Linked DNA regions of Saccharomyces cerevisiae S288C. Changing the gene in region 1 together with any one later gene gives a genetic interaction. Each region holds a gene or a part of one and is shown in the gene's direction. Other genes may lie near its edges.

What was found.
Region 2: mutations in PRS4 (region 1) and VIP1 together harm fitness more than expected from each alone (negative genetic interaction), as found in Saccharomyces cerevisiae (3 studies listed by BioGRID).
Region 3: mutations in PRS4 (region 1) and MEK1 together harm fitness less than expected from each alone (positive genetic interaction), as found in Saccharomyces cerevisiae (3 studies listed by BioGRID).
Region 4: mutations in PRS4 (region 1) and IPK1 together harm fitness more than expected from each alone (negative genetic interaction), as found in Saccharomyces cerevisiae (4 studies listed by BioGRID).

The regions. Positions count from the first base shown.
Region 1 is NC_001134.8:88,756-96,291, forward strand, and holds PRS4 (ribose phosphate diphosphokinase subunit PRS4), read left to right. Parts: upstream 1-3,658; coding exon 3,659-4,639; downstream 4,640-7,536. Other genes in the region: 40S ribosomal protein eS8 RPS8A, read right to left, coding at 1-370; YBL071C-B (uncharacterized protein), read right to left, coding at 703-801; KTI11 (Kti11p), read left to right, coding at 1,223-1,471; YBL071C (uncharacterized protein), read right to left, coding at 1,468-1,776; AST1 (Ast1p), read left to right, coding at 1,986-3,275; ubiquitin-specific protease UBP13, read right to left, coding at 4,884-7,127. UniProt on the Saccharomyces cerevisiae protein: 5-phosphoribose 1-diphosphate synthase involved in nucleotide, histidine, and tryptophan biosynthesis. Active in heteromultimeric complexes with other 5-phosphoribose 1-diphosphate synthases (PRS2, PRS3, PRS4 and PRS5).
Region 2 is NC_001144.5:933,507-943,271, forward strand, and holds VIP1 (inositol polyphosphate kinase VIP1), read left to right. Parts: upstream 1-4,034; coding exon 4,035-7,475; downstream 7,476-9,765. Other genes in the region: GAG1 (Gag1p), read left to right, coding at 1-147; BLS1 (Bls1p), read right to left, coding at 379-747; rRNA-processing protein UTP21, read right to left, coding at 908-3,727; YLR410W-A (gag protein), read left to right, coding at 7,977-9,293. UniProt on the Saccharomyces cerevisiae protein: Bifunctional inositol kinase that acts in concert with the IP6K kinases to synthesize the diphosphate group-containing inositol pyrophosphates diphosphoinositol pentakisphosphate, PP-InsP5, and bis-diphosphoinositol tetrakisphosphate, (PP)2-InsP4.
Region 3 is NC_001147.6:992,168-1,000,139, reverse strand, and holds MEK1 (serine/threonine protein kinase MEK1), read left to right. Parts: upstream 1-3,628; coding exon 3,629-5,122; downstream 5,123-7,972. Other genes in the region: SOG2 (Sog2p), read left to right, coding at 1-1,687; TFIIH complex subunit TFB6, read right to left, coding at 1,896-2,927; MNE1 (Mne1p), read left to right, coding at 5,285-7,276; CIN1 (Cin1p), read right to left, coding at 7,307-7,972. UniProt on the Saccharomyces cerevisiae protein: Probable protein kinase required for meiotic recombination.
Region 4 is NC_001136.10:1,092,241-1,095,106, reverse strand, and holds IPK1 (inositol pentakisphosphate 2-kinase), read left to right. Parts: upstream 1-1,520; coding exon 1,521-2,366; downstream 2,367-2,866. Other genes in the region: OMS1 (putative RNA methyltransferase), read right to left, coding at 1-1,344; RAD34 (Rad34p), read left to right, coding at 2,596-2,866. UniProt on the Saccharomyces cerevisiae protein: Has kinase activity and phosphorylates inositol-1,3,4,5,6-pentakisphosphate (Ins(1,3,4,5,6)P5) to produce 1,2,3,4,5,6-hexakisphosphate (InsP6), also known as phytate.

The DNA.
Region 1 (7,536 bases):
TCTTACCCAAGGTTTGACCGTAGTGAGCTTCGAACCATTGTCTGAATGGAGTAGCATCAATTTGGACAATGGCAGCCTTGGTCAAAGTGTTAGTTCTAACCAATTCATTGTTGGATGGATGGTAAACAACACCAGCAATTCTGGTCTTCTTGGAGATACCTTCAGAAGCCCAAGAAAAGTTACCGGTTTCAATTCTTAGAGCTCTGTATTTCTTGTTACCACCTCTAGTTCTAACAGAGTGAATTCTCTTAGCACCGATCTTGGTGTTGGCTGGTTGACGGCCTAATTCGAACTTTCTCTTCTTTCTGAATTGAGCACGCTTGGCACCGGTAGCGGATCTTTTGTGACGAGAATCACGAGAAATACCCATTTTGTAACTGTAATAGAAAATTTAATGACGCTTGTTAGTAAAATAAAGAACGTACAAAAGTTGCGGAATTTTTTTCTTATCTTGAAATATGCTTTGGTTTCTTTTCATCTCTTCTTGTGAAAAACTCGGCGTTTCATAAGAGGCTTGATTTTTTGGGTACACAAAGGATTCAGTTTAGTGCACTGCTCCTGTCACAATTTATATCATCCCTTTTAGTTAAGTTTACTTTTTCCACTATCTATTCCATTCAAAGAGAGGTCCTGTAGCATTCAAAATAATATGTAGTTCCATTACTCATATGACCATAGCACATACTTTTTGTCCTGGTGTGTTTATAACGTCTTCTTGTGAGTACCAAAAAGCAAATGGCAAGTGTAATTTCCTATAACTTTAAGATAGGCCTGTAAATAACGTATATGAAACAGTTCCATCCCGTAACACCATGAACACTGCGTAAGAGAAAGCCCTCAAGCTTTCCCAGCGATGCTCGTGTGTAGGACCGAACATGGAGGGGGGAACTAGGCCCAGCACGGGTTTGGCGAGGCCGCTCTGCTCGCAGCTCAGGATTCTAAAAGGTTATTCCGCTGAGAAAATCAGAAAATAGGAACTTCTCACGCAATAATTTTAAAGTTGATGAAAAAGGAAAATTTGTAAAAGTGTAAGGGTGTTAAAGAGGGTGTATGGATGTAAAGTCACAAAAGTTAGAGCAGATGAAAAAGAAATGGGTGGAGACAAATCCGAAAAAGGACCTATATTATCGCTATAAAGAGCTTCTCATCGCTTTTTTTTTTCAAAGACACATACATACCACGACTGTAAGCACATCATTTGTACAATACATTACCAGCTGAAATGTCAACATATGACGAAATCGAAATCGAAGATATGACGTTTGAGCCTGAAAATCAAATGTTCACCTATCCTTGTCCCTGTGGAGATAGGTTTCAAATATATCTGGATGACATGTTTGAGGGCGAAAAAGTTGCTGTTTGTCCCAGCTGCTCACTGATGATCGATGTAGTTTTCGATAAAGAAGACTTGGCTGAGTACTACGAAGAGGCAGGCATCCACCCCCCTGAGCCTATTGCCGCTGCTGCCTAAAGATGAGAGGCTAGATCGAGAATACAAATAGAAATAAAGAAAGAGCTATATGACTTAGCAACGCAAGCAGAAAAGAAGGTTTGCTTCTTCGCTGGACTCCGGTTGGAATTACTATTCAAAATTCCAAGTGCACTGATGGAAAACGTTTTGCTCAGGTTGAGCTCTTTTACTGCATATAAGGATACTGGGTAGGTGTATATGATTATTTTATACATGATACGTAGGCTAAAATGATTTGGACCCATTAAATCATCTTGTCGCATCTCTTTTCTTTTTCCTCCATGCTCAGATTTCAATAATATCATCTCAAATGGCTGTGACAAATTTCACCGGAAAGGCGAGGGATTTTTCTGTTGACATTATCAAATTAGCTTTTTGTCAAAATAATGAAAAATAAAGAAAATATATAAAAGTACATATTATAATCAAAGCTAGCTCAGGTATATTCCCACCTTGTCGAGCATTCCGGAAGCTACAAATACGACATTGCATACCAAGAGGCAAACGTTGAACAATGGCTAAAGATATTTTGAAGAACCAGGACCCTAAATTGCAAGCGATGATCGTTGAACACTCGGCGCCTGCTCCCAAAGAGATACCTATGGACGCTCCTGTTTTGAAAAGAGTCGCTAGACCTTTAAGACATGTAAAGTTCATTCCAATTAAATCGCTGATATTCCATACTAAAACAGGGCCCATGGATTTTTCTTATGAAAAGAAGATCAAGACGCCTATTCCTAAGAACAAAATTGTAGTTCGAGTAAGTAATGTGGGTTTGAACCCTGTAGATATGAAAATCAGGAACGGCTACACATCGTCGATTTACGGTGAGATCGGCTTGGGGAGAGAGTACAGTGGTGTTATCACTGAGGTAGGCGAGAACCTAAACTACGCCTGGCACGTGGGTGATGAAGTATACGGTATATACTACCACCCTCATTTGGCCGTGGGATGTTTGCAAAGTTCAATCTTAGTAGATCCAAAGGTGGACCCAATCCTTTTGAGACCAGAATCGGTTAGCGCCGAAGAAGCTGCAGGCTCCTTATTCTGCCTGGCCACCGGCTATAATATTCTGAATAAATTATCCAAGAACAAGTATTTGAAGCAAGATTCAAACGTTTTGATTAATGGTGGAACTTCGTCAGTGGGGATGTTTGTCATACAATTATTGAAGCGTCATTACAAGTTACAGAAAAAACTAGTGATTGTAACGTCTGCAAATGGGCCCCAAGTTTTACAGGAGAAATTTCCTGATCTGGCTGATGAAATGATTTTCATCGATTACTTAACGTGTAGGGGTAAATCTAGTAAACCACTAAGAAAAATGCTCGAAGAAAAGAAAATTTCTCAGTATGATCCGGTCGAGGATAAGGAAACTATACTTAACTATAATGAGGGGAAGTTCGATGTTGTACTCGATTTTGTCGGTGGTTACGATATTTTGAGTCATTCTAGTTCATTGATTCACGGCGGTGGTGCGTACGTAACCACTGTAGGTGATTACGTTGCCAATTATAAAGAAGACATTTTCGATTCATGGGATAACCCAAGTGCCAATGCAAGAAAAATGTTCGGGTCTATTATCTGGTCATATAACTACACACATTACTATTTTGATCCGAATGCAAAGACGGCTTCCGCCAATAATGATTGGATTGAGCAATGTGGCGACTTTTTGAAGAACGGTACTGTAAAATGTGTCGTCGACAAAGTTTATGACTGGAAAGACCATAAAGAAGCATTTTCTTATATGGCCACTCAACGTGCCCAAGGAAAGTTAATCATGAACGTCGAAAAATTCTAGATACCCACTTACATTTACAATATGTTTTATTTTTAAACTTAATGAACTTCATAATTTAATGCTTAATATTTTCCCCCTCCCACCTTCTCCTGGCGTTCTCTGTACGTACATAACCATTTATTTTAATATATAATCAAATATTGTAACAATTGAAGCAGATGAGTCTCGCTCCTTAGTTAAGCACGTGCCGATGATATCAATTGGATTTGTTAGCAAATCAGCCTTGCTGCTCGATTCTCTGCTTTTTTTTTACTTCTCGGTCATTGAAAAATCCTGACGAAAATATTTCAAGGTCCTATATGGTCATCGACCTTGAGCATGTGGTAGACTACATAATGCACATAGACTCTCAGCTTCAACTCCACAAGGCTTCTCCAGCAAAAATGAATTCAGAGTCTCGAGAAGATATGGCTATAAATAGTATCAAATTGCTAGCGGGAAACTCCCATCCTGATTTGGCTGAACAAATATCGAAAAAGTTAGGTATTCCACTTTCCAAAGTTGGTGTGTACCAGTATTCTAATAAAGAAACCTCTGTCACCATAGGTGAGAGCCTTCGCGACGAAGATGTGTATATTATCCAAACTGGAATAGGTGAACAAGAAATTAATGATTTCTTGATGGAATTATTAATTTTAATTCATGCTTGCAAAATTGCATCTGCAAGAAAGATCACTACTGTAATACCCAATTTTCCATATGCAAGACAAGACAAGAAAGATAAATCCCGGGCGCCCATTACCGCAAAGTTGGTTGCCAATTTATTGCAAACTGCTGGTGCTGATCATGTCATCACAATGGATCTCCATGCCTCCCAAATTCAAGGGTTTTTCCATATCCCGGTTGACAACCTATATGCAGAACCAAGTGTTTTAAATTATATTAGAACGAAAACAGATTTCGACAATGCTATTTTGGTGTCGCCTGATGCAGGTGGTGCTAAGAGAGTAGCTGCTTTGGCTGACAAGTTAGATTTAAATTTTGCTTTGATTCACAAAGAGAGGCAAAAAGCTAACGAGGTTTCAAAAATGGTGCTTGTTGGTGATGTTACCAATAAATCATGTTTATTAGTTGATGATATGGCGGATACTTGTGGTACGTTGGTAAAAGCTTGTGATACGTTGATGGAGCATGGTGCCAAAGAAGTTATAGCTATTGTTACACACGGTATTTTCTCCGGTTCAGCAAGAGAAAAGCTAAGAAATAGTAGATTGTCTAGAATTGTTTGCACAAATACCGTTCCGGTAGATTTGGATTTACCTATTGCTGACCAGATCGATATTAGTCCCACGTTCGCTGAAGCTATAAGAAGACTACACAATGGTGAATCCGTGTCATATTTGTTCACCCATGCTCCAGTATAGGACAATTTTTTATTCTTAGATTCCTGATTGCTTGCATGCCTAAATACTTCATAATTGTATTAGTTTAAAAGAAAACCTTTTACTGAGACAAAACTATAAATTTAAGAAAAAGGTTCCGGAGCCGGTTTAAAAAAAGAAGATTAAAGATATTATATTTATGTAAGAATTAAATTAATACTGTCAGAGAAAAAATAGTTTTAAAGGAGACGGTGAACCTTTACCTTCCTTGATATGCAAATATTTTTCAGCTTTTCCTAAAACTAAACATTCTCGACTTTTTTTTAGAAGACTTTATGGGTGTGTTAGAAACAAAGCTGTCGTCTATAGCAGTATCCAAATCGTCTGCTATAGGCAGCTCTTCCTTTTTCTTTTGACCACTATTGCAAGTTCTTAGCCAATCATCGTACTTGATTAGATTGTCTATATTATCATCTTGTTCTTTTGCCATATTTTCACGATCATTCTTTTCAACAGCGTTTGAATACATCGCTTTATAAAACAAAACATATGCTGTTGCCATATTTGGAGATTCACCTGTGAATTCTAACACTGTTTCCTCTTTAACTGCCTCTACCGTTTCGTCATCAAATAACAACCAGCCAAACTTTTCATGTTTACATAGGGAAACATAATGGCCGTGTTGTGGCCCACCGCCCATATGAACGACAATCCCAGCCAATTCATACTTTTGACAAACCTTAGAATTTATTGAAGAGCAAACATTTAGCGTCAGAGGATAGTGAATGTTATTAAAAAGCTTAATATTACAGTTTTGTTTCTCAGAATACTTGAATCTTTTCAAGTGTAATGTTAAAGTATCAGGCAATTGCTTCAAACCAACTAATCTCTCTGCCTCCTGTAAACCGCAACATTCGTCACAATAAAACTTGTTTGAGCCATTTAGCATTTCTCGCTGGTGATAACTTTTCAAAATTTCCTGTATATCTGTTTCCTCATCTCCCTGAACTTCTATGGGGAAATCCAAAAATGGCTCATCCCTAGATGTAATGTTATCGCACGTCAGACATTTTATTTGATTCGTTAAAGTGCCTTGAAACAAGTCACTGATGAAATTTTTACTCTTACTCGGTTCGCTATCGCTGTTGATATCACTGGCTGCTATTTTTTTATTCTCACGTTCTATATATTCACTCAACTCGTTTAATAAGAAATTGAAAAATTCGTGAGCATCCTGATGCATAGTAGTATTAAATAATACATTTTCTCTTTTGAGAACATCAACAAAAGAGCTAGGCGATACAACACCAGTTAAATACGTATTCTCAGTTATGCATTCAAAGATATCTCTCAAACTGGAATACAAAGTAGCCTTATCTGAGCCGTTTAAGCTATGGTCAATATTGAGCACTGGCCCACGAATAAGTGCGGATTTCTTTCTATGTTCTGGGGATATTTGAGAAGAGGAACTAGATCTTCTAGTATCTTTTTTATCAAGTGGAGTGGATAAGCTGCTATTACTTTCTCCTTTCAAGTCCAGGTTATTACTATTACTGCTACCTCTTGAAGGATTTTCATAATTGAGAACTCTGCCAACAATTATTTTACGCGGAACATCCGGAGGTCTATCTGTGACGTTCTCGAAACTCAATCTGCTCGGAGCACCAGGCTCATTAGGTGTTTCGACTATCAATGGAGGTGCGTCTTGAGGACGAGAAGAGGGTTTTCCAGTGGTTAATATAGCAGGACTTCCTTCCTTTTTATTATTGTCTTGTACATGTTTCGCGCTAAAACTTTTAAAAAATTTACTCTTCTTCTCTGAAGGCCCAGCTGTATTTGAATTTACAGAATTTACAGGGGTAGGCTTTCCATCATCAACAGATTGAGGTTTAGGGTTAGGCAAATGTCCATTGGTACCAGCAATGCTTTTCTCAAAACTTGCTTCGGTAAATATTCTTGGTTTCTTACCTCTCATTTCTTTCTTTCTTGGTTGATCAGATTCTCTTGATTTTTTTGGAAATTGCAATATATTTTCACGTAATGAGGACAGATTATAGAGACATTGAAGAACTGAGTTACAGTAACATGTATTGCCAAAATTTTCGTATCCAAAAACTTTGTTGGAGCCGTCTCCATAGGGCATTGAGTCGGACACCTTCATAGCTAATATGGGTGCCTCGGGCCCTTGCGTGATAATGCCTCCGTATGCGTTTATAGCCTTTGCGTTTGAAATATAAAATATCCCATCCTGGCTGTAATTACTGCCTTGATTGCACGTTTCAGAAGAATAGTCTAGTCCGGAAGAAATCTGCAAATTATTGTCTTCATTCAAAAAAGTTTCCTTGGTATCCAAATTAGAGACAAACAATGAGCTAGAGGGATTATCGGATGATTCGCTATAACAGAGTTCATCATTTATATCGTGGTTTACAGGCTTAAAGTCAACCTTTTCTACTTCTTCTGTAATGGTATCATTAACAGCCTTTTTCTTCTTCCCAGACTTACTTATAGTTAGCCATCTTCTGATCATGATTGCGCCCTTCTTGCGTGGGTTTAGTATGTTAATGAAAGTACTGGATCCTTACTAAAGCCGAATTTGGCCCCTTCAACAAATAAAGCTTGATGAGTTGAACAGTCAAAGGGTAAGATCTGGTATAGGCAATAATAATATTATCCAAATGGAAAAAAAAAAAATGAACAGGTGAAAAAAAATCAATTTGAAAACCAAAGAAAAACTCTATTGATTCCTTTGCTGTTGTCGACCTTCTTTCACACAATAGTTCAATTACGTTCTTTGGGTTCTTTATCTTTATAGTTATCTTGCCTCATCTCTATGTTCAACACTTTCGGATCGATGTATTTTTCAGCCTTCCGCTAAAATTGACGACCGTCTCCAAACGAATAGGGATAAAGAAGCAAGGACTGAGCGTTGGAGAAAA
Region 2 (9,765 bases), on another chromosome or scaffold:
GAATATTATGCTCGAGTTTACAAGAAACTGGTGGTAGATGATAAGCCATTGAGAGAGCCTCTAAATCTGGAAGATGCTTTACAAGTCATAAATGCAGGCTGGACGGAAACGAGAAAGTGGGCTAATGCTGCCAAGGGCATGCCATGACTGAGTGTCGACGTCCTTTTTGTTTTGCCTTATAGCATCTTTTCCTTTCTTCAAATTTGCATTACACAACTTTAACTCAGTTAAAGAACTTCGTCATTTACTTATTCTTCTTTTTTTTCTTACCCTTCTTTCTCAAATCTTATTTCTGTATAAAATACGTATTGATTCATTCCATTAATAATAACATATAATAATAGTACTAATTTAAAAACATTGAATATATTTATCGTTTTATTTCGAGTTGCGATTCTTTTCTATCAGTTGGTACGTCATTTCAAGGATTCGGAGATCCCTATCCACAAGCTCTGCTTCCTTTTGTAATGCTTCGGTATGCCCCATATACGGAGTGTACTTTTCCAACATATAGTTAATAGGAGAAACACACTTATTTTTAAATGAGTCGTCATGAAGTCGCAATAACTTCTTCAACTGTACATTTAAAATATATGATTGATTATTTTCAATTTCTTGCAAAGTCTTCGAGGCTTCTGTTCTATGCGGAGAGTTGATTATTTTGTCGAGTAATCGGTCAAGTTCTTCAGACCTGTTTGGCATTTTTACGATTATCCAGTTCACACACATTGAGAATGTAAGGAACATTTATTTATTGTCGATCATTTATTAAATGTGGGAGGGACCCTTTAAGAACACTGCAACAAACCCAATAAATAATTCTTGGTTACCCTCTCAAAAAACATCATAGGAAAAAGAAAAATATACAATCTGCCTTTGTTACTAATATACTTGTTCTATATAATGCTCACGCGGTGGTCACAAAAGCTGCCACTCCCATGCAAAACTTCACAAGATCATCTAATCTGTCTTCCTTCTTATGTACATCCTCCCAATTTTGAAGAGCAGAGGCAATATCTTGATTCTTGTTGTTAGCATGAATAACATCACCGTGTGCCTTAAACAGTAAGCTCATAAACGTTTCATAAAGTTCGAAATTTTTATTGCTCTTCAACCCCTGTGTTAACGCGTCGATAAACCACACAATTTCATCAAATGGCTCAAAGGAATTCAATGATCTTATCTCCAAATCCACTGCAGCAGGTGAGAAATTTATTAGAGTGGCCAGCAATGATGAATAGTCCTTGGATTGTGAGCCCTCTCGTAATTGCTTTGTGAAATGTGATTCAAACCCTAATCTTCCTGTAACTTTGAATTTATTCATTTGCTCTTCTGCATCTAACTTCTTTTGTGCTTCTTGATCTCTGCGATGGATTTCTTCTGGTGTTTCATGTGCTATGCCTTCTCTGACAGAGGCTTCATCCCCAACCTTTTCCCCAGATAGTTGCAAGAAAAATGGAAGCTTTTCTGATTTCTTTGGAGCTTCCTTTGGCTTAGAACGTTTTCTGATAACATCTAAATGAAGCAATGTGTTCATTTTACTTCTAGGTCCTATTGATAAAGTCAACAGCTCCTTATCAATCTGTTCCAATGATGTATAAGTGTTGAAATCAATATCATTTAGGTCTTCTCCTCCATTGCTTTCTAAAGCCCCTGATAACATCGAGTCGTTCCCTCGAACAGATGTGCTAGGTAACGCCATTCTTGCAAATTCAGACTCATCGATGGTTCTTGTCGATACTGTCTTAAATTGTGCTCTGTTCGTCCAGATGCATATACCATTACCAGTAACATGGGTAGTGGCAAGCAAGTCACCATTCGGAGAAAACTTTACATTCGTAGCGACATTATCTACTATGATACCATCGATACATCCTCCGGTTGGAAGATCCCACGTTCTAATGGTGGAATCTAGAGAAGCGGAAACAATCCAACGGCCCTCAGGTGAGAAATCAAATGCAGTTATTCTATTACTATGACCCCATAATTGACGAACAACTCTTTGAGTAACTGCGTCAATAACAACAATTGATAAGTCGTCTAAAGCCAATGCAAATAGATCGGAAGAACGATGATAAACCATTGCGGTAATAGGTGCATCCAATTTCAATTTTCCCAACAAGGTTGACTTGTTAAAGTCATAAAAACCAACAATACCGTCTAGTCCACAAGAAACCATTTTACGATTCATACCATCTAAGGATATACCGGTGACTGCTCTTTTGTGCAATTTGTATTTTTTACGGAGTATACCACTTTGCATATTATAGATGGTGATAGAGCCGTTAGAAGAACCGATGAATCCAAAATTACCACATTGCGACATGGCCACAGATTTAACAAATCCATCATCAGTAGTATCAAAAGTCCACCTGCCAACTCTTTTATTTCGCATATCCCAGGTTCTTGCAAACTTTTCATCTTTATGTGCAGTGATAATGTTTTCCCATTCACCTATTCTGGCATTTTCAATTGCAAGAGCCACTATTTCAGGAAATTTAGACTTAATTGTACTACCACCTACCCTGCCGCCATCTTGTTTCTTGTGTAACCTTTGTGACATTTCTTGCGACTGTGCATCTTTACGCAGAGAAAAGCTCCATAATGATCTATCTTTGGATGCTGATAGCATGAAGTGTGATTGCGAATCAGCAAACGCAATGTATGAAGGTGGTTGAGAATGACCCCCTCTGGAACGTAGATATCTTGGCGGTTGAACAACTACATCACCGCTTCCTTGAGATAATGACGGATCGAAAACGTACTCCTTCAGGGAATTGTCACCACCTGATGTAACAATAATGGGTTGACCATTTAAAAAAGTAGCCTGAGTGACACCACCGTACGATTCTCTATGAATGTTCTTCAAAACGTGTATTCTTGAACGGCGATCTAAATCATAAAATATTAGATCACCACTGCTCGTTCCCACACTCAAATGAGAAGAACCGTCGGTTCTGAAACTCAATGAGGAGATTCTTGATTGCGGAATCTTAATTGTGCGGATCCTTTTACCTTTTCTCATATTAAACATAATAACCTCACCGGTCACGGTACCTAGAGCAATAATATCCAGGACTGGAGCGGGTTCAGCAGTTGTGATTTGGTCTGGAAATTCGTTTGATGTGAATACAAGCTTCCCGGTTCTGACGTTAAAAAGTAAAACGTTAGATTTGGTAACGACAGTTAATTTATTCAAATAAGTTGCCAAATGTTGTAAAGACACAATTTCGCCACCTTGAATTTCAGTAACGGTAAGTTTAGTGTAGAATTCTGATGGATATTTATCTTGCGGATCGGACTTCTTGTATATAAAGATGGAATTGTCGTCGGTGGAAGCGCAAAGATAATCTCCGAATATGCACAAATGTTCGACATTTGCATCAGTTTCTAGCTCAAGCAAATGTTCCTCAATACCCCTCTTGTAAATACCAACCTTGTTTTCATATGCTGCGTAGACGTAGTGAAAGTGTGCTGATAATGCTACAATTGAGGATGGTGTTTCTTTCTCGGAAACAAAAAGTAAATGTAAGGTATTCGCATCATATATCTGAAATGTTTTACCAACACACGTTACAATGTAAAAGGTAGATCCCAATGTACCAGTAGCAAAAGGAACACCATTGCTAACATTACCAATAATCCGGAAAGGGGAAAATATCTTAGAATTTTTCCCTCTACTTCTTACGTCTTCTTCGACTTTTCTTTTTTTCAAGTCGATAGACATAATGTACTATTCCTAACTCGCTATAGCCTTTTCAGTGTCTTATTCCTTGCTGCTGTTTCGCTGTATATTTATTGTGCTTAGGACTTATTAAATTTCATTAGCAATCTCATCGCGAAATTTTTCTCAAAATTTTTCAGTTAAAAAAAAAAAAGCACGTGCTCAAAAATGTTTTTAGAAAATCATTTATTTAAGATAGGAAAAATGCAATTAATCATTGAATCAATATGTTCACCACTTAAATTACCCACTGAGCATTTCATACAAATTCAAAAGCATCTCGTAGCATATTAATATATTGCAGAAGGTCATGAGTGGGATAAAGAAGGAACCGATTGAATCTGATGAGGTTCCTCAACAAGAGACAAAAAATAACTTACCTAGTGCACCTTCTGAGATGTCACCCCTTTTCCTAAACAAAAACACACAGAAGGCTATGCAATCTATTGCACCAATATTGGAGGGTTTCAGTCCTAAGACGTCAGCTAGCGAAAATATGTCTTTGAAATTGCCACCTCCCGGTATTCAAGATGATCACAGTGAAGAGAATCTCACCGTGCATGATACTCTGCAAAGAACCATAAGCACTGCACTAGGAAACGGAAACAACACCAATACAGTTACAACTTCCGGTTTAAAAAAGGCAGACAGTGAATCAAAGTCAGAAGCTGATCCTGAGGGGCTCAGCAATTCTAACATAGTCAATGATGCAGATAACATAAATTCCATCTCCAAGACCGGATCGCCCCATTTACCTCAAGGAACAATGGACGCTGAGCAGACTAACATGGGAACTAACTCTGTACCTACTTCATCAGCTTCTTCACGCAAATCCTCGACTAGTCATCCCAAACCTAGGCTACCCAAGGTAGGGAAGATTGGGGTATGTGCAATGGATGCAAAAGTCCTTTCAAAGCCAATGAGACACATTTTGAATCGTTTAATTGAACATGGTGAATTTGAAACTGTCATTTTTGGAGATAAGGTGATTCTAGATGAAAGAATAGAGAATTGGCCAACTTGCGACTTTTTGATATCTTTCTTTTCTTCAGGATTTCCCCTAGATAAAGCAATTAAATACGTCAAGTTACGCAAGCCTTTCATTATCAATGATTTAATAATGCAAAAGATTTTGTGGGACAGGAGATTATGTCTACAAGTATTAGAAGCCTACAACGTTCCAACACCTCCTAGACTGGAAATCAGTAGAGATGGTGGTCCCCGTGCCAACGAAGAATTAAGGGCAAAATTACGTGAGCATGGCGTAGAAGTTAAACCCGTTGAAGAACCGGAATGGAAAATGGTTGATGATGATACTTTAGAAGTTGATGGGAAAACCATGACTAAGCCCTTTGTTGAAAAGCCCGTTGATGGTGAAGACCACAACATTTATATATACTATCATTCTAAGAACGGAGGAGGCGGTCGTCGTCTATTCCGTAAAGTTGGTAACAAGTCTTCTGAGTTTGATCCTACTTTGGTTCATCCTCGTACGGAGGGGTCTTACATTTATGAGCAGTTTATGGATACCGATAATTTCGAAGATGTGAAGGCTTATACGATTGGTGAGAACTTTTGTCACGCTGAAACTAGGAAATCACCTGTGGTTGATGGTATAGTTAGAAGAAATACTCATGGTAAAGAAGTTAGATATATTACTGAGTTATCAGACGAAGAGAAAACCATTGCTGGGAAAGTTTCCAAAGCTTTTTCACAAATGATCTGTGGTTTCGATTTGCTTCGCGTTTCTGGTAAAAGTTACGTCATTGATGTTAACGGATTTTCTTTTGTAAAGGATAACAAAGCTTACTATGATTCATGCGCCAATATATTGAGAAGTACCTTCATTGAAGCCAAAAAGAAGATGGATATGGAAAAGAAGAATCTGCCCATTATTCGTGAAGAAAAGGAACAAAAGTGGGTATTCAAAGGACTGGCTATCATTATCCGTCACGCGGACAGAACACCAAAACAGAAATTCAAACATTCATTCACTTCGCCTATTTTTATATCGTTACTAAAAGGTCACAAAGAAGAAGTTGTCATTCGGAATGTAAATGATTTAAAGATTGTTCTTCAGGCCTTAAGAATTGCGTTAGATGAAAAAGCAGGAAATCCAGCTAAAATTAAAGTGTTAGCAAACGCTCTAGAAAAGAAACTGAATTTTCCCGGTACGAAAATACAATTGAAACCGGTTTTAAATAAAGAGAACGAAGTGGAAAAAGTTCAGTTTATTTTGAAATGGGGTGGTGAACCCACTCATTCTGCCAAATATCAGGCTACGGAACTCGGAGAGCAAATGAGACAAGATTTTGACCTATTGAATAAGAGCATTCTACAAAACATCAAGATATTTTCATCGTCTGAGAGACGTGTTCTTCATACGGCGCAGTACTGGACCAGAGCTCTTTTTGGGGCCGATGAATTAGGTAGCGATGAAATCAGTATTAGAAAGGATCTTTTAGATGACAGTAATGCCGCCAAAGATTTAATGGATAAGGTGAAAAAGAAGTTGAAGCCACTTTTAAGAGAGGGTAAGGAAGCTCCCCCACAATTTGCCTGGCCTTCAAAGATGCCGGAGCCATATTTAGTCATAAAGCGAGTGGTTGAATTGATGAATTACCATAAAAAAATTATGGATAACAACTTTGCTAAAAAGGATGTCAACTCGATGCAAACAAGATGGTGTACTTCTGAAGATCCTAGTTTGTTTAAGGAAAGGTGGGATAAACTTTTCAAAGAATTCAATAATGCTGAAAAAGTCGATCCTTCTAAAATTTCTGAATTGTATGATACTATGAAGTATGATGCTCTTCACAACAGGCAGTTCCTAGAGAACATATTTGACCCGGGTCTTCCAAATGAAGCTATCGCCGATGAACTCGGCAGTCATTCTTTAGTTGACCGATACCCAATTAACGTTCTCGCCAAAAATAATTTTAAGATAATAGACAGTCATAGCATGAACAATTCTGGAAAGAACAGTAGTAATAGTGTTGGGTCGTTAGGATGGGTTCTGGAAAGCGGAAAAACATCTACAGCAAGAAACCCCAAATCTTCTTCTCAATTCGATGAGCCACGCTTTATGCAGTTGCGGGAGCTGTATAAGCTGGCCAAAGTATTGTTTGATTTTATCTGCCCCAAAGAATATGGTATTTCAGATGCAGAGAAACTGGATATCGGTTTGTTAACTTCGTTGCCTTTGGCAAAGCAAATACTAAATGATATAGGAGACATGAAAAATAGAGAAACTCCAGCTTGTGTTGCGTACTTCACCAAAGAGTCCCATATTTACACTCTATTGAATATCATATACGAATCTGGTATTCCAATGAGAATCGCTAGAAATGCTTTACCAGAACTAGACTACTTGTCGCAGATCACTTTTGAACTTTATGAGAGTACGGATGCTTCTGGTCAAAAATCGCATTCCATTAGACTAAAAATGTCTCCTGGGTGTCATACTCAAGATCCGTTAGATGTTCAATTAGATGACAGGCATTATATTAGTTGTATTCCAAAGATTTCCCTGACGAAGCATTTGGATATGGACTATGTTCAACAGAAATTGAGAAACAAATTTACCAGGGTCATTATGCCTCCGAAATTTACACCAGTAAACATTACGAGCCCCAACTTGAGTTTCCAGAAACGCAAAACCAGAAGAAAGTCGGTATCTGTTGAGAAGTTGAAACGTCCTGCCTCGTCCGGATCTTCATCATCTACCTCCGTTAACAAGACATTAGATTAGTGATCACACCCAATTTTTAATTTAGTAACCCAAAACTAAATAAGTATTTACTCAACTTTTTTTTAAAAAAAAAAAACTTAATTGAATTTTGCTCGCGATCTTTAGGTCCGGAGTTTTCGTTGAACCCTTAGACGAGCAAATTAGCGCCATAAGGATATGCGTCAGAGCACATTAATTAGTGACATATACCTATATAAAGAGCAACCTTCTTGTTGGAATAAAAATCAACTATCATCTACTAACTAGTATTTACGTTACTAGTATATTATCATATACGGTGTTAGAAGATGACGCAAATGATGAGAAATAGTCATCTAAATTAGTGGAAGCTGAAACGCAAGGATTGATAATGTAATAGGATCAATGAATATTAACATATAAAATGATGATAATAATATTTATAGAATTGTGTAGAATTGCAGATTCCCTTTTATGGATTCCTAAATCCTCGAGGAGAACTTCTAGTATATCTACATACCTAATATTATTGCCTTATTAAAAATGGAATCCCAACAATTACATCAAAATCCACATTCTCTTCATGGTAGCGCCTATGCTTCGGTTACTTCTAAGGAAGTCCCATCAAATCAAGATCCGTTAGCCGTTTCAGCTTCCAATTTACCGGAATTTGATAGAGATTCCACTAAGGTTAATTCTCAACAAGAGACAACACCTGGGACATCAGCTGTTCCAGAGAACCATCATCATGTCTCTCCTCAACCTGCTTCAGTACCACCTCCACAGAATGGACAGTACCAACAGCACGGCATGATGACCCCAAACAAAGCTATGGCCTCTAACTGGGCACATTACCAACAACCATCTATGATGACGTGTTCACATTATCAAACGTCACCTGCGTATTATCAACCGGACCCACACTATCCGTTGCCACAGTATATCCCACCACTGAGTACTTCCTCACCTGATCCAATCGATTTAAAAAATCAACACTCTGAAATACCTCAAGCTAAGACAAAGGTGGGAAATAACGTCTTACCACCACACACTTTAACATCAGAAGAAAACTTTTCTACATGGGTTAAATTTTACATCAGATTTTTGAAGAACTCTAATCTCGGTGACATCATTCCAAATGACCAGGGTGAAATCAAAAGACAAATGACTTATGAAGAACATGCGTATATATACAATACCTTCCAAGCATTTGCCCCATTTCATTTATTGCCAACATGGGTAAAACAAATTTTAGAAATTAATTATGCTGACATCCTTACAGTCCTTTGTAAAAGTGTGTCCAAAATGCAAACTAACAATCAAGAATTAAAGGATTGGATAGCTCTTGCCAACCTTGAGTACGACGGAAGTACATCTGCTGATACATTTGAAATTACAGTCAGTACGATCATTCAGAGGCTAAAAGAAAACAATATCAATGTTAGCGACAGATTGGCCTGTCAACTAATACTTAAAGGTCTATCCGGTGACTTCAAATACCTACGTAATCAATATCGTACCAAAACGAACATGAAACTTTCCCAATTATTCGCTGAAATTCAATTAATATATGACGAAAATAAAATCATGAATCTAAATAAACCGTCCCAATACAAACAACACAGCGAATACAAAAATGTTTCTCGCACATCTCCAAACACGACTAACACAAAGGTTACAACTCGTAATTATCATAGAACAAATAGTTCAAAACCAAGAGCAGCAAAAGCTCACAATATTGCTACATCTAGTAAATTCTCAAGGGTGAACAATGATCACATTAATGAATCAACCGTTTCATCACAATACTTAAGCGATGACAACGAACTTAGTCTTAGGCCAGCAACAGAAAGAATCTAAGCCAACACACACAATAGACTCGAATGACGAACTACCTGATCACCTTCTTATTGATTCAGGAGCTTCGCAAACGCTTGTCAGATCAGCCCATTATTTACACCATGCAACACCCAATTCTGAAATAAACATAGTCGATGCTCAAAAACAAGACATTCCTATAAATGCCATTGGTAATCTTCACTTCAACTTTCAGAACGGCACCAAAACATCAATAAAAGCACTACACACACCAAACATAGCCTATGATCTATTAAGTTTGAGTGAGCTGGCTAACCAAAATATTACTGCCTGCTTTACCAGAAACACTTTAGAAAGATCGGATGGTACAGTACTAGCTCCCATAGTCAAACATGGAGACTTTTACTGGTTATCTAAAAAATACCTAATTCCTTCGCACATTTCAAAGCTAACAATAAACAACGTCAACAAAAGCAAAAGCGTAAATAAATATCCATATCCGTTAATACATCGA
Region 3 (7,972 bases), on another chromosome or scaffold:
TACGAACTTGTCTAATGGAGCAATGAATGAAAACAATATAATTTCACTTGCCCCAAGTGCAAATACAACTATAAGTGCATCTACTGCAATGGTCTCATCTAATCAAACCTCTGCAACATCTTTCAGTGGTACAGTCAATGCAGAATCAGAACAAAGTGGGGCAGTGAATGGTACGGAACTATACAATCACACCAAATATAATGACTACTTCAAGAGGTTGTCGATTTTACCAGAAGAGTCAATGAGTAACGGGCATCAAAAAATATCGCATGCAGAGTTGGTTGTTTCCTGTCGGAAGCTCCTATTTAGTTTTACAGAATGCCAACAAGCTATCAGAAAAATCGCCTCTTTCTGTAAAGAGAAGGCCGTAGCGGTTAATGTAGTATCATTATTATACTCTGTCAGATCACATACTGATAATCTGGTGGAGGTCTTGCAGCAAACAGAGAACGAAGACGAATCGCATGATCAGGCGTTAATCAAGCTGTGCCTCACTATCATCACAAATTTTAAACAAATTATAACATTGTTGAGAAAAAATTTTGAGATTTTTTTCAAAGAAGACGATCTATGCTTCATAAGGATGTTTTATATGACATTAATGTGTGCTTATATGGAAATGTATAATGCATGGTCTTTTATCAAAGAAGATGATCAAGTGTCCGGTTCTGCAAGTAAGGCACCCAAGAAACATTCTTTTTCGAGGCACGAGACATCGTCCAGTAGTATCACAAGCGGTGGAGGACCCGCAGCAAGTACGACCAGTACACATTGTAGCGGAAACATAAAATTACTGCCGAAAACAAGGAGCACAAGAACACCATCTGCATCTGCATTGCTTTCAAATAGTAATATTCTGACGGGTGATACCACTGCTGTTCCTCTTTTATCACCAAATCTAAATGGTGCACACACCCATGGTCCAATTTTGGGACACCAAAATGCAATAAGCAATGGAAGTTCTCAAACGAACATGAATGAAGTAAAAACTACTAGCGATACTATTCCAAGGCAACAGCTGCTTCAGCACAATAAATCCATCAGCGATTCGAAAAAAGAGTCACAGGCGCATGAACCTAAACAGCATCCGGTTATGACTTCTTCAATAATTAACGCATCAAATAGTAATAACGTCTCGAATGTTAATATAACCCCACCACCGATGAATGGTGGTGGTGCCGCGAACAGTAGTGCTAATGTAGTGGAGACAAATATTGACATTCAACTGTATCAAACGTTGTCCACAGTAGTTAAAATGGTGAGCGTTGTATATAACCAGTTAACTTCAGAGATATCCAAGATAGCCATTGCTAGCACCATGGGAAAGCAAATTTTGACGGACTCGCTAGCACCTAAAATTCGTGATTTGACGGAAACATGTCGTCAAGCGATGGATTTATCCAAACAATTGAATGAAAGGTTAAATGTATTAATACCGAACGATTCAAATTCAGAGAAGTATCTGACATCTTTGGAGAAGCTGAAAACGTGGGAGATAATGAATTCGTTCTTAAAAGTAATAATATCAATTCTGGCTAATACTAAAATCGTAATGAGCGACGTGCCTAATTTGAATGAGCTGAGACCTAACCTAGCCAACTTGGCGAAGATTACCAAGGATGTCACTGTGATATTGGACTTGAGTTCATACAAGGCTGTATCAGTAAGCGCCAACTCTCCGGAGTAATATAAAAACTTGCATTGTGAGAAAACGCGAACTTTAGAATACGTAATGGGAGGATCATATACCCCATGGTACTGAAATGTATGCTTTATATATATATATATATATATTTATATATTTATGCATGAAAAATGAGGAGTTCGGAAACAGAAGTTTTAAAAGTTACAGATTTATTGTATAAAAGATACACGCCACTGGTTGAATGTAAATGTTAAAATGAATTGGCATGGTCTAAAAATCCCTCGTAAATCTTGCTTAATTCATAATGGTAACCATGGATACCCTGGGATTCCAAAAATATGGGTAGGCGAACTCTTGTTCGTTCCGCGATACCTTTTAACCTCACAATATCAGTCCCATTCAATCCTGCTATGTTCTTGCTGGCTGAAGACGTTTTAGGGACTTCTTTGCAATTATCATTATCATCAGTTAGAATTACAAATATCCTGTCAAGGATGAAGAAGAGTTTGAATAATTTGGATAAAGTGTCATTAATCTCTGAGTCTTCCATATTTTTGAATGTAAATTTTTCAACGTAATCGATGAGATCGTCCGCAATTTTTATTAAATAGGACCCTTGACCAAAATAACTAGAATATCCGCATGTATCTTTTGGGTTTCGGGAATCTGGGCAATGTCTCTTTTCTTCTGATTGAAGTAAATAGTCTGAGTTTGGAACATGGGCAATAGAATACCAAACGAAGTCAACTAAAGTTTTTAAATCCTGCAGCAGCGGAGTAAGACTGGCATAGCCGTTTTTGATATTCAGGCCCCTGGATTGAACAAATTTTCTTTGAATTTGTAAAAGCTGATCATCAACGTAAGAGATGAATTTGGATTGTTGAGACATTGACAATCTTCTCGGGTGTGACGTTCCATTGTGATCATTTGGCAATAATTCACTCAGCTTTGTGGCAGACGAAAAGGGAGAAGACACGTTTATTCTAGGCTGGAAATCGTCAACATCATCGAGCATAGTTACGTCGTTGATTGTGTTGTTAGTTTCATTGTAAACATCATTGAATTCTGGTGTATGATATCTTCTTTTCTTATTACAATTACGCTGCCATATAACGTTGTCTATGTTAGAATTTACGACATCACCTGAGTCTGCACTAATTTCTACATCTGAGTTTGGATCCAAGTTTAAATCATCAATGTCTTTTTCATCTAGATCATTTAAGTTGTTCAAGTCCAGTTGCTCATTCGGTTGAGCATGTAATGGTGTGTTTGGCTCAGACATCAAAATACTGTGTTGAAATCTTTTATTTTTATAATATTTCTTTCCTTACCAGGGCTTGGAGTCTCTACAACAGTTAGCTTACTGTTTATTCTGCCACATTTCCACCCTTTTGTGGGGCTTCTATTTCAAGGACCTTCATTATGGAAACAGGGCGAGGTTGTTTGTTCTTCCTGCATGTTGCGCGCAGTGCGTAAGAAAGCGGGACGTAAGCAGTTTAGCCATTCTAAAAGGGGCATTATCAGAATAAGAAGGCCCTATGAGGTATGATTGTAAAGCAAGTGGTGTAAAATTGTGTGCTACCTACCGTATTAGTAGGAACAATTATGCAAGAGGGGTCCTGTGCAAATAAAAAATATATATCTAGAAAAAGAGTAGGTAGGTCCTTCACAATATTGACTGATAGCGATCTCCTCACTATTTTTCACTTATATGCAGTATATTTGTCTGCTTATCTTTCATTAAGTGGAATCATTTGTAGTTTATTCCTACTTTATGGGTATTTTCCAATCATAAAGCATACCGTGGTAATTTAGCCGGGGAAAAGAAGAATGATGGCGGCTAAATTTCGGCGGCTATTTCATTCATTCAAGTATAAAAGGGAGAGGTTTGACTAATTTTTTACTTGAGCTCCTTCTGGAGTGCTCTTGTACGTTTCAAATTTTATTAAGGACCAAATATACAACAGAAAGAAGAAGAGCGGAATGAGACCGTTGTATAGCTGCAACCTTGCAACCAAAGATGATATTGAGATGGCAGGTGGCGTAGCTCCTGCTCACCTGGAAGTTAATGTAGGCGGCTATAATACAGAGCAGACAATACCTATAGTAAAGCATCAGCTCGTGAAAGTTGGGAGAAATGATAAGGAATGTCAACTCGTTCTAACGAATCCCTCTATCTCCTCTGTTCATTGCGTGTTTTGGTGTGTCTTTTTTGATGAGGATAGTATTCCAATGTTCTACGTTAAAGATTGTTCTCTTAATGGAACGTATTTGAACGGTTTGCTTTTGAAAAGGGACAAAACGTATCTTTTAAAACATTGCGACGTTATTGAATTATCGCAGGGAAGTGAAGAAAATGACATTAAAAAAACACGACTAGTTTTTATGATTAATGATGATTTACAATCTTCTCTGGACCCAAAACTTTTAGATCAAATGGGTTTTCTGAGGGAAGTAGACCAATGGGAAATAACAAATAGAATAGTGGGTAATGGCACTTTCGGTCATGTTCTGATCACGCATAACTCAAAAGAACGTGATGAAGATGTCTGTTATCACCCTGAAAATTATGCTGTGAAGATCATTAAACTAAAACCAAATAAATTCGATAAAGAGGCTCGAATCCTTTTGAGACTGGATCACCCAAATATTATCAAAGTCTACCATACTTTCTGTGACAGGAACAATCACCTTTACATATTCCAGGATCTTATCCCTGGTGGTGATTTGTTTTCTTACCTAGCTAAAGGCGACTGTCTAACTTCCATGTCAGAAACTGAATCGCTATTGATCGTCTTTCAAATTTTGCAAGCTTTAAACTACCTTCATGATCAAGACATTGTTCACCGCGATTTGAAACTAGACAATATTTTGTTATGTACGCCAGAACCGTGCACTAGAATCGTCTTGGCAGACTTTGGTATAGCTAAAGATTTAAATTCCAACAAAGAAAGAATGCATACTGTCGTAGGCACTCCGGAATACTGCGCTCCAGAAGTTGGATTCAGAGCAAACAGAAAAGCATATCAAAGCTTCTCAAGAGCAGCTACGTTAGAGCAACGAGGTTATGACAGTAAATGTGATCTTTGGTCTTTGGGTGTCATTACACACATTATGTTAACAGGGATCTCGCCTTTTTATGGAGATGGTTCTGAGAGGAGTATTATTCAAAATGCAAAAATTGGGAAGCTGAATTTCAAACTGAAGCAGTGGGATATTGTTTCAGATAATGCCAAGAGTTTTGTCAAAGACCTTTTGCAAACTGACGTAGTTAAACGATTAAATAGTAAGCAAGGTCTCAAACATATTTGGATTGCAAAACACTTAAGTCAATTAGAGAGATTATATTACAAAAAGATATTGTGCAATAACGAAGGCCCTAAACTAGAAAGTATAAATTCAGACTGGAAAAGGAAGTTACCCAAAAGTGTTATCATTTCTCAGGCAATACCGAAAAAGAAGAAGGTTTTGGAGTAATCATAGGATTATCTCTTCCTCTTTCAAACTGCGCGTAGTTCAAAATAAAAAGGTATCTGTGTAAAAAAAAAAAAGTAAGTCAATTGTATGATTTTTAAGTAAAAGTTGCCCTTTTCTACTAGAAACGGCGAGAAAAAATGATAGTAGTGTGCCAAGAAGAATATGAAGTTACTTTTTAAAAGATATTCGTCTAGTCATATTGGTAAGCTGATTAAGGACTCTTTAATCACTCCTGAAATACTACCACAGCTAGGGCGACAGCCATCATCGCATAAACGTTTACCAAATAACAAAAGAACTAACTCAATAACTGATAAATGGTTGAAGGATGCGCTAACAAGAAAAGATAAACTGAATGAAGATAAGCTCCAAAATGTAAATTTACGATTAAATGTGGTACTGACTACTCTACAGAAGCTTCGTACATCCGATAATCCTGCTTTGTATTTTGCGTTGTTGAATCGTATTGGCACAGGTCACATAAAATGGCTAAATAAAAGTGGCCGACAGATTGATGCATTCCCACCTGATCGGCTGCCTTTGGAATTTTATCATGAGCTATCTAATATGCTCTATAAACTATCGCTTCGGTCCGCAAATGACAAAATTGCACTAGCTAAATTTTCATTGCAATTATTGGATCGCTATTATTTTCTTAAAACCAAATCTTTAACTATAGAAGGAAAATTTCGGGCAAACATAAAATTTTTGAGGAATTGTACTCTTTTAATTGTTAAATCCCAATCGAACTACTACTTAAGGGCAATACAGCGGTTGTTCGCGGAAAATTCGGAGGGTCAATTATTAGCCAATTTATCCCAGCTGGCATTTTATGTGGAGACCTCCCAATGGACAAGTATGTTGGATATTTTATCCTCATGTGTACCGGATTCTGGTTTAAGAGGTTCGAAGGAGCGTGAAAGAGCTATTCAATTGTTGGAGTTATTTAGTCCATGCCTAGTCAAAAGTCTAAAAGTAATGATAGCACAAAATATGGAGAATGAAGCTTGTCAGATTTTAAGGAGCTTGTCTGAATGGAACTTTCATTTTGATCAGCATGATTCCTCCAACTTGATACAATTATCCCAGAACCATTCTTGCCTCAAAGTTATTGAAACCATGAATGGATTATCATCAACTACCGCTGTCACTAGGCAATTCGGACTTGAAAAATTACCAACTGACGTGAGTTTGAAGCAGAGCATACATATTTTATCAAAAGATAATTTCGAACCTCTCAAGCAAGATTCATTTCTTCAATTTCTATCGTTTAAATTAAGTGATTTGCCTCTGAACTTAGAAGTATGGAAAAAGCACATTAAGGAGGTTGATGACCAAATGCAGGCTGAGTCCAACCTGCATTCCTTAAGAGCTTTTTTTATTGATATGCTACTGTGTCACTTATCTGTGCGCAAGGATTTCGATTTTATGCTTTCATTGGTCGAGCACATAGTATACGAAAAAAATTTATGGCAGCCATTATTACTCACAGATAATATAGTTGGAAACAAAGAAAATTCCACTTTTCATTGCCTCTTTCATGGCGCCTCTCAAGATATTTCTACCAAACTTACTCTACTGGCATTGTATAACCAGTTGAATGAAATCGGCTATCAATTTACCTCCCACGATTTTCTCTCGATGTTGAAAGTCTGCAAAAACTACTCTGATTCTGATTTTTTCTATTTTGCTTTCTATAATTTGTTGGTTACACAAAGTCACAAATTTTTTCTTTTCGATAAGTTTAGTGATAAGTTTTCGTGGAGGTTGCCAATACAAATCGGAGATGCAATTTCTGAATGGCTATCCAGCTTAGAAATTGATATACAAGAAAACACCGATAGAGTTTTGCAGATAACAGATGACGTCGGCGAATGGTATGTTGAGAATAAACCATTTAAGTCAGAAAAAGGGACCATTCAACCAATAAACATAATGGAATTGCGCAAAATTTTTGGGGAGCGAAAAACTCTATTTCATATGGATTCAGAAATTTTCCAAAAATCTAAAGCAAAAAGAGATAAAGAAATGCGGAATGAAGCTTTATTTACCGCAAATGATGCGGAATATAATTTTGCTGCGGATGTATCCTATGCAAAGAGAGTAGAAAATCTATTTTCTTACATAAGATCTAAGCAAATGCAACAAAAATAATGATTATATGTAAAATTTGCCGTTTACATTCTATAAAGTGATATCAGACTCTAATATATTCGCCAATTCATGTTTCTGGCAGGCCACTTGTAGAGCTTGGAGTTGCCTGGTGACACCTAATTCCAAAAATATCTGGAACATACCTTGTAAAGCGACATTTTGATCAGTCATAAATTTTGATTTTGTTGCGGCGTATTCACGTTTCACAAGAACCAACAACCTTTTCAGTATTATGTTGGATAGATTCTTCTGGTCAGCATTTTCTCTCATTGTGTGGTAACAAGATATTGCCAAGAACGGGAAGAATTTGATCACGCTTACTCTCAATGTCGTACAATCTAATAAATGTAGGTTATAGAACTTGGCGAAAACACCCTGAAAATTAAAATTTGGATGTAGAACAACCAACCCAGATTCCATGATTCTAGTCCAAAATTTTACACAATGAATGGTGAATTTGATGGTGTCAAATCTCATACCTCCTGTTAATGGATCCTTGTTACGATCGCGTATTCTTGATTCAGCGATTTGTTTAGCGCTTGGAATTATTCTGATTAAATCGTGGCATAATTCCAGCTGTTGTGAAGGAGACAAAGATCTGTAGTATACGATAAATGAATCTATTGATGAAGTAAGCTGAGAATCTGTAAAATGTATTGCTCCAGCGCTCACTGCATATCCTTTCCAGAATTCTTC
Region 4 (2,866 bases), on another chromosome or scaffold:
TTCCATTCTCTTTCTAATACTTGATTGCAAGTATTTTTCTACAAACCCAAGCTCGTCTTTCTTTTTCACATCACCTTTTCTCTTTGCAACGATACACCAAGTAGTGCCTAAGTGAGTCCGTTTTTCTTCCACCAATTCTAGGTCAGAATCATCTAACACTTCGCCTAAGTCGAGATTCCATCGACAGCCCCAAGTATTCAGTCTTCTTTCAGCTCTGTTGTCTAATATCTTATTTATAAAATCGTATTGACCTCTACCATGTTCCAGTAAAATAATTCTTCCATCTGGCTTTAATAACTTGCCAAAATTATTAAGTGCCTTAACCGGATCTTCATGGGAACACAAACCAAACGCCTCCACGATAGTATCATATTTTACTTGGTTTTCCTTTTCATTCTCTAGAGAGGGCTTACCTTTCTCTGCTAAGTCTACTAGATTTTCCGCCTTTCCAACAACAAATGCAACTTTTTTATACTTAGGAAACTTTTCTCGGAATTTTTTATGTGTAATTTCCATCATATTTTCAGAAGAGTCTAAGAATGTTATAGAGTTGATGCGTGACATATCAAGGTACTTGATATTTCTTCCTGTACCGCATGAAACTTCCAAAACATCCCCTTGACAATGTTTCATTAACCATTTCCTTCTTTTACCGAGAAATATTACTCTCTCTTCCATATTAATTGCCTTATCATATTCGTTAGCTTTTTCTTGGTAAAAGTTTGTTGTGTCTCTTGCTGGCAATATTTGTTCATTCAATTTGTTTTGATCAAAATTCTGTACCCGAATATCATCGAAGTTTTCAATGCCTTCTTCTTGCATTTTTTTGTATTCTTCTAATTTCAATTCATCTCTCCTCCTTAGTTTTCCTTTCAATTCTTTAATCCTTAATGCTTCGTATTCATTGGCATTCCCTTCTTCTTGTTTCTTCAACAATCTTTCCAGTTCTTTGTCTTTCGCAAACAGTTTTTTGGTAAAGAAGAGACCATAGATTAAAAATATCACATAAGCACCGATCATGTACTTGGTCATTCCCTTTGAAAACTTTTCTGATCTCGCAATAGCTCCCCACCTCACAAATCTATTAGGTGACCTCAGTTGTTCTTCGAACCTCTCTTTGGCCAATTCTTCTTTTGTTTTTTGCTTACGAATGACTCTATTGCTATTCATTTGGAAAACATTTTTAAGCTTTTTTTTACTTTTATCATCATCAATGTGGCTGCTGTTATATTTATAAGATGTAAAAGATAATGATCGCCTTTGTGATTCCAACAAAAGACTCCTGGATGCCGGTTGTCGAATGTGATGTAAAAGGCACGTAGGAAAGCGACGAAATACGATCATCCTCACTTACTTATGGTTTTCTTGTTCGTTCCTCAGTGGTTTATTTATCGAAGATATTTTCACAAGGTACTTTTTTGATGCGGTCCCATTTAGGGTTTCCAAAATTAATTCGAACCGTGATATGCTACCAGTCGAAAATTGTCAGAGATAAGTTCCTTTTTTGAAAAGAAAGATCGATGCAAGTCATCGGACGTGGTGGGGCAAATATACTGATTGATTATGGGGATCCTACGTGGTTGTGGCGATGCTGCATCCGTTGGCCCGATCTGTTATCATCAAATAATTCTTATACAATCAAAAACATCAGTTATATTAAAGATTATGTAGAACCTCTTCTACATGGCTTGCTTTGCCCGATGTATCTGATTGACGTCGATATAGAAGCTATAAGGCCAATTCTCAGTGACTTTATTCTAAATTTAGACGATAAGGTAGTCAAAGTTATCAAAATTAAAAATCTCACCAATAATACCTCAAATCTGATATTAAATAACCACTTTTTAAAATCTTATTGTTCACAAAATCTGCAAACAGTTATTTTAGAATTGAAGCCTAAATGGTTATACTATGATACAGATTACTGTAGGAACTGTACTCATAATGCATTTAAGGGTAGAGGCACTAAGTACTGTTACAATCAATTACTAATGAATCCAGCACACTTGGAATTAATATTTGGAGAATGTAATATATTTCCGGTTAAGTTTAAAGATGCCATGCATGAGTACTTGCGCAATGACAATAACATTTTCAAGATCCTTTATGATTTACAGAAAAAACTTACAAAGAACACAACTCCAATAAGTGACATAAAATCAATCAACGATGTAAACGATGAGCATCTGCTACTCATGACACTCAGAGACGTGACATGTTTCATTGAATGGAACAGTGCTGAAAATGCGTTGCACGTGAATATAATAGATGTAGATCTAAAGCCAAAAGAAAAATGGACCCATTGGACAAAAACTTACAGCCAGTTGACATCAAGCCAAAAAATTTATCATACTTCAAATAAATAAACTGTATACTTTTCTTTCCACCTTTGGTACTGGCAGATGCACATACATTACCATTTGTAAAATATATGGATAGATAAGTATTTTTTTTTTCTAGTGGCCCTCTGGAAAATGTAAATAATAAAACGGAAAACACACAAGCCAGGGTGAATGACCAAATTCGATATTCAACGAAGGGTCAAACCTTGAAACCTAGCATACATGAGTTTAAGGAATAGTGAGAAGAAAAGTAATGGCCAAGAGACTGTTAGAATCAAGCCAAAATGATCAGGCCAATCGAAAAAACTCAAAGATTGAGAAGAAAGAAGTATCGTTTTATGAGGAGGAAGAAACAGATGATTCTTTTGATAGTTTTTACCAGGATGAAGAAGATGATTTAAGTGATATTGATTGGGAAGAAGTTTCTTTAGATGGAAGCTTAACTGTCACATTTGGCAATATACGCAGAGACAGGGAGAAAGTCAGCAAGTACAAAAGAAAGCATAATAAAAAAGCATTCAATT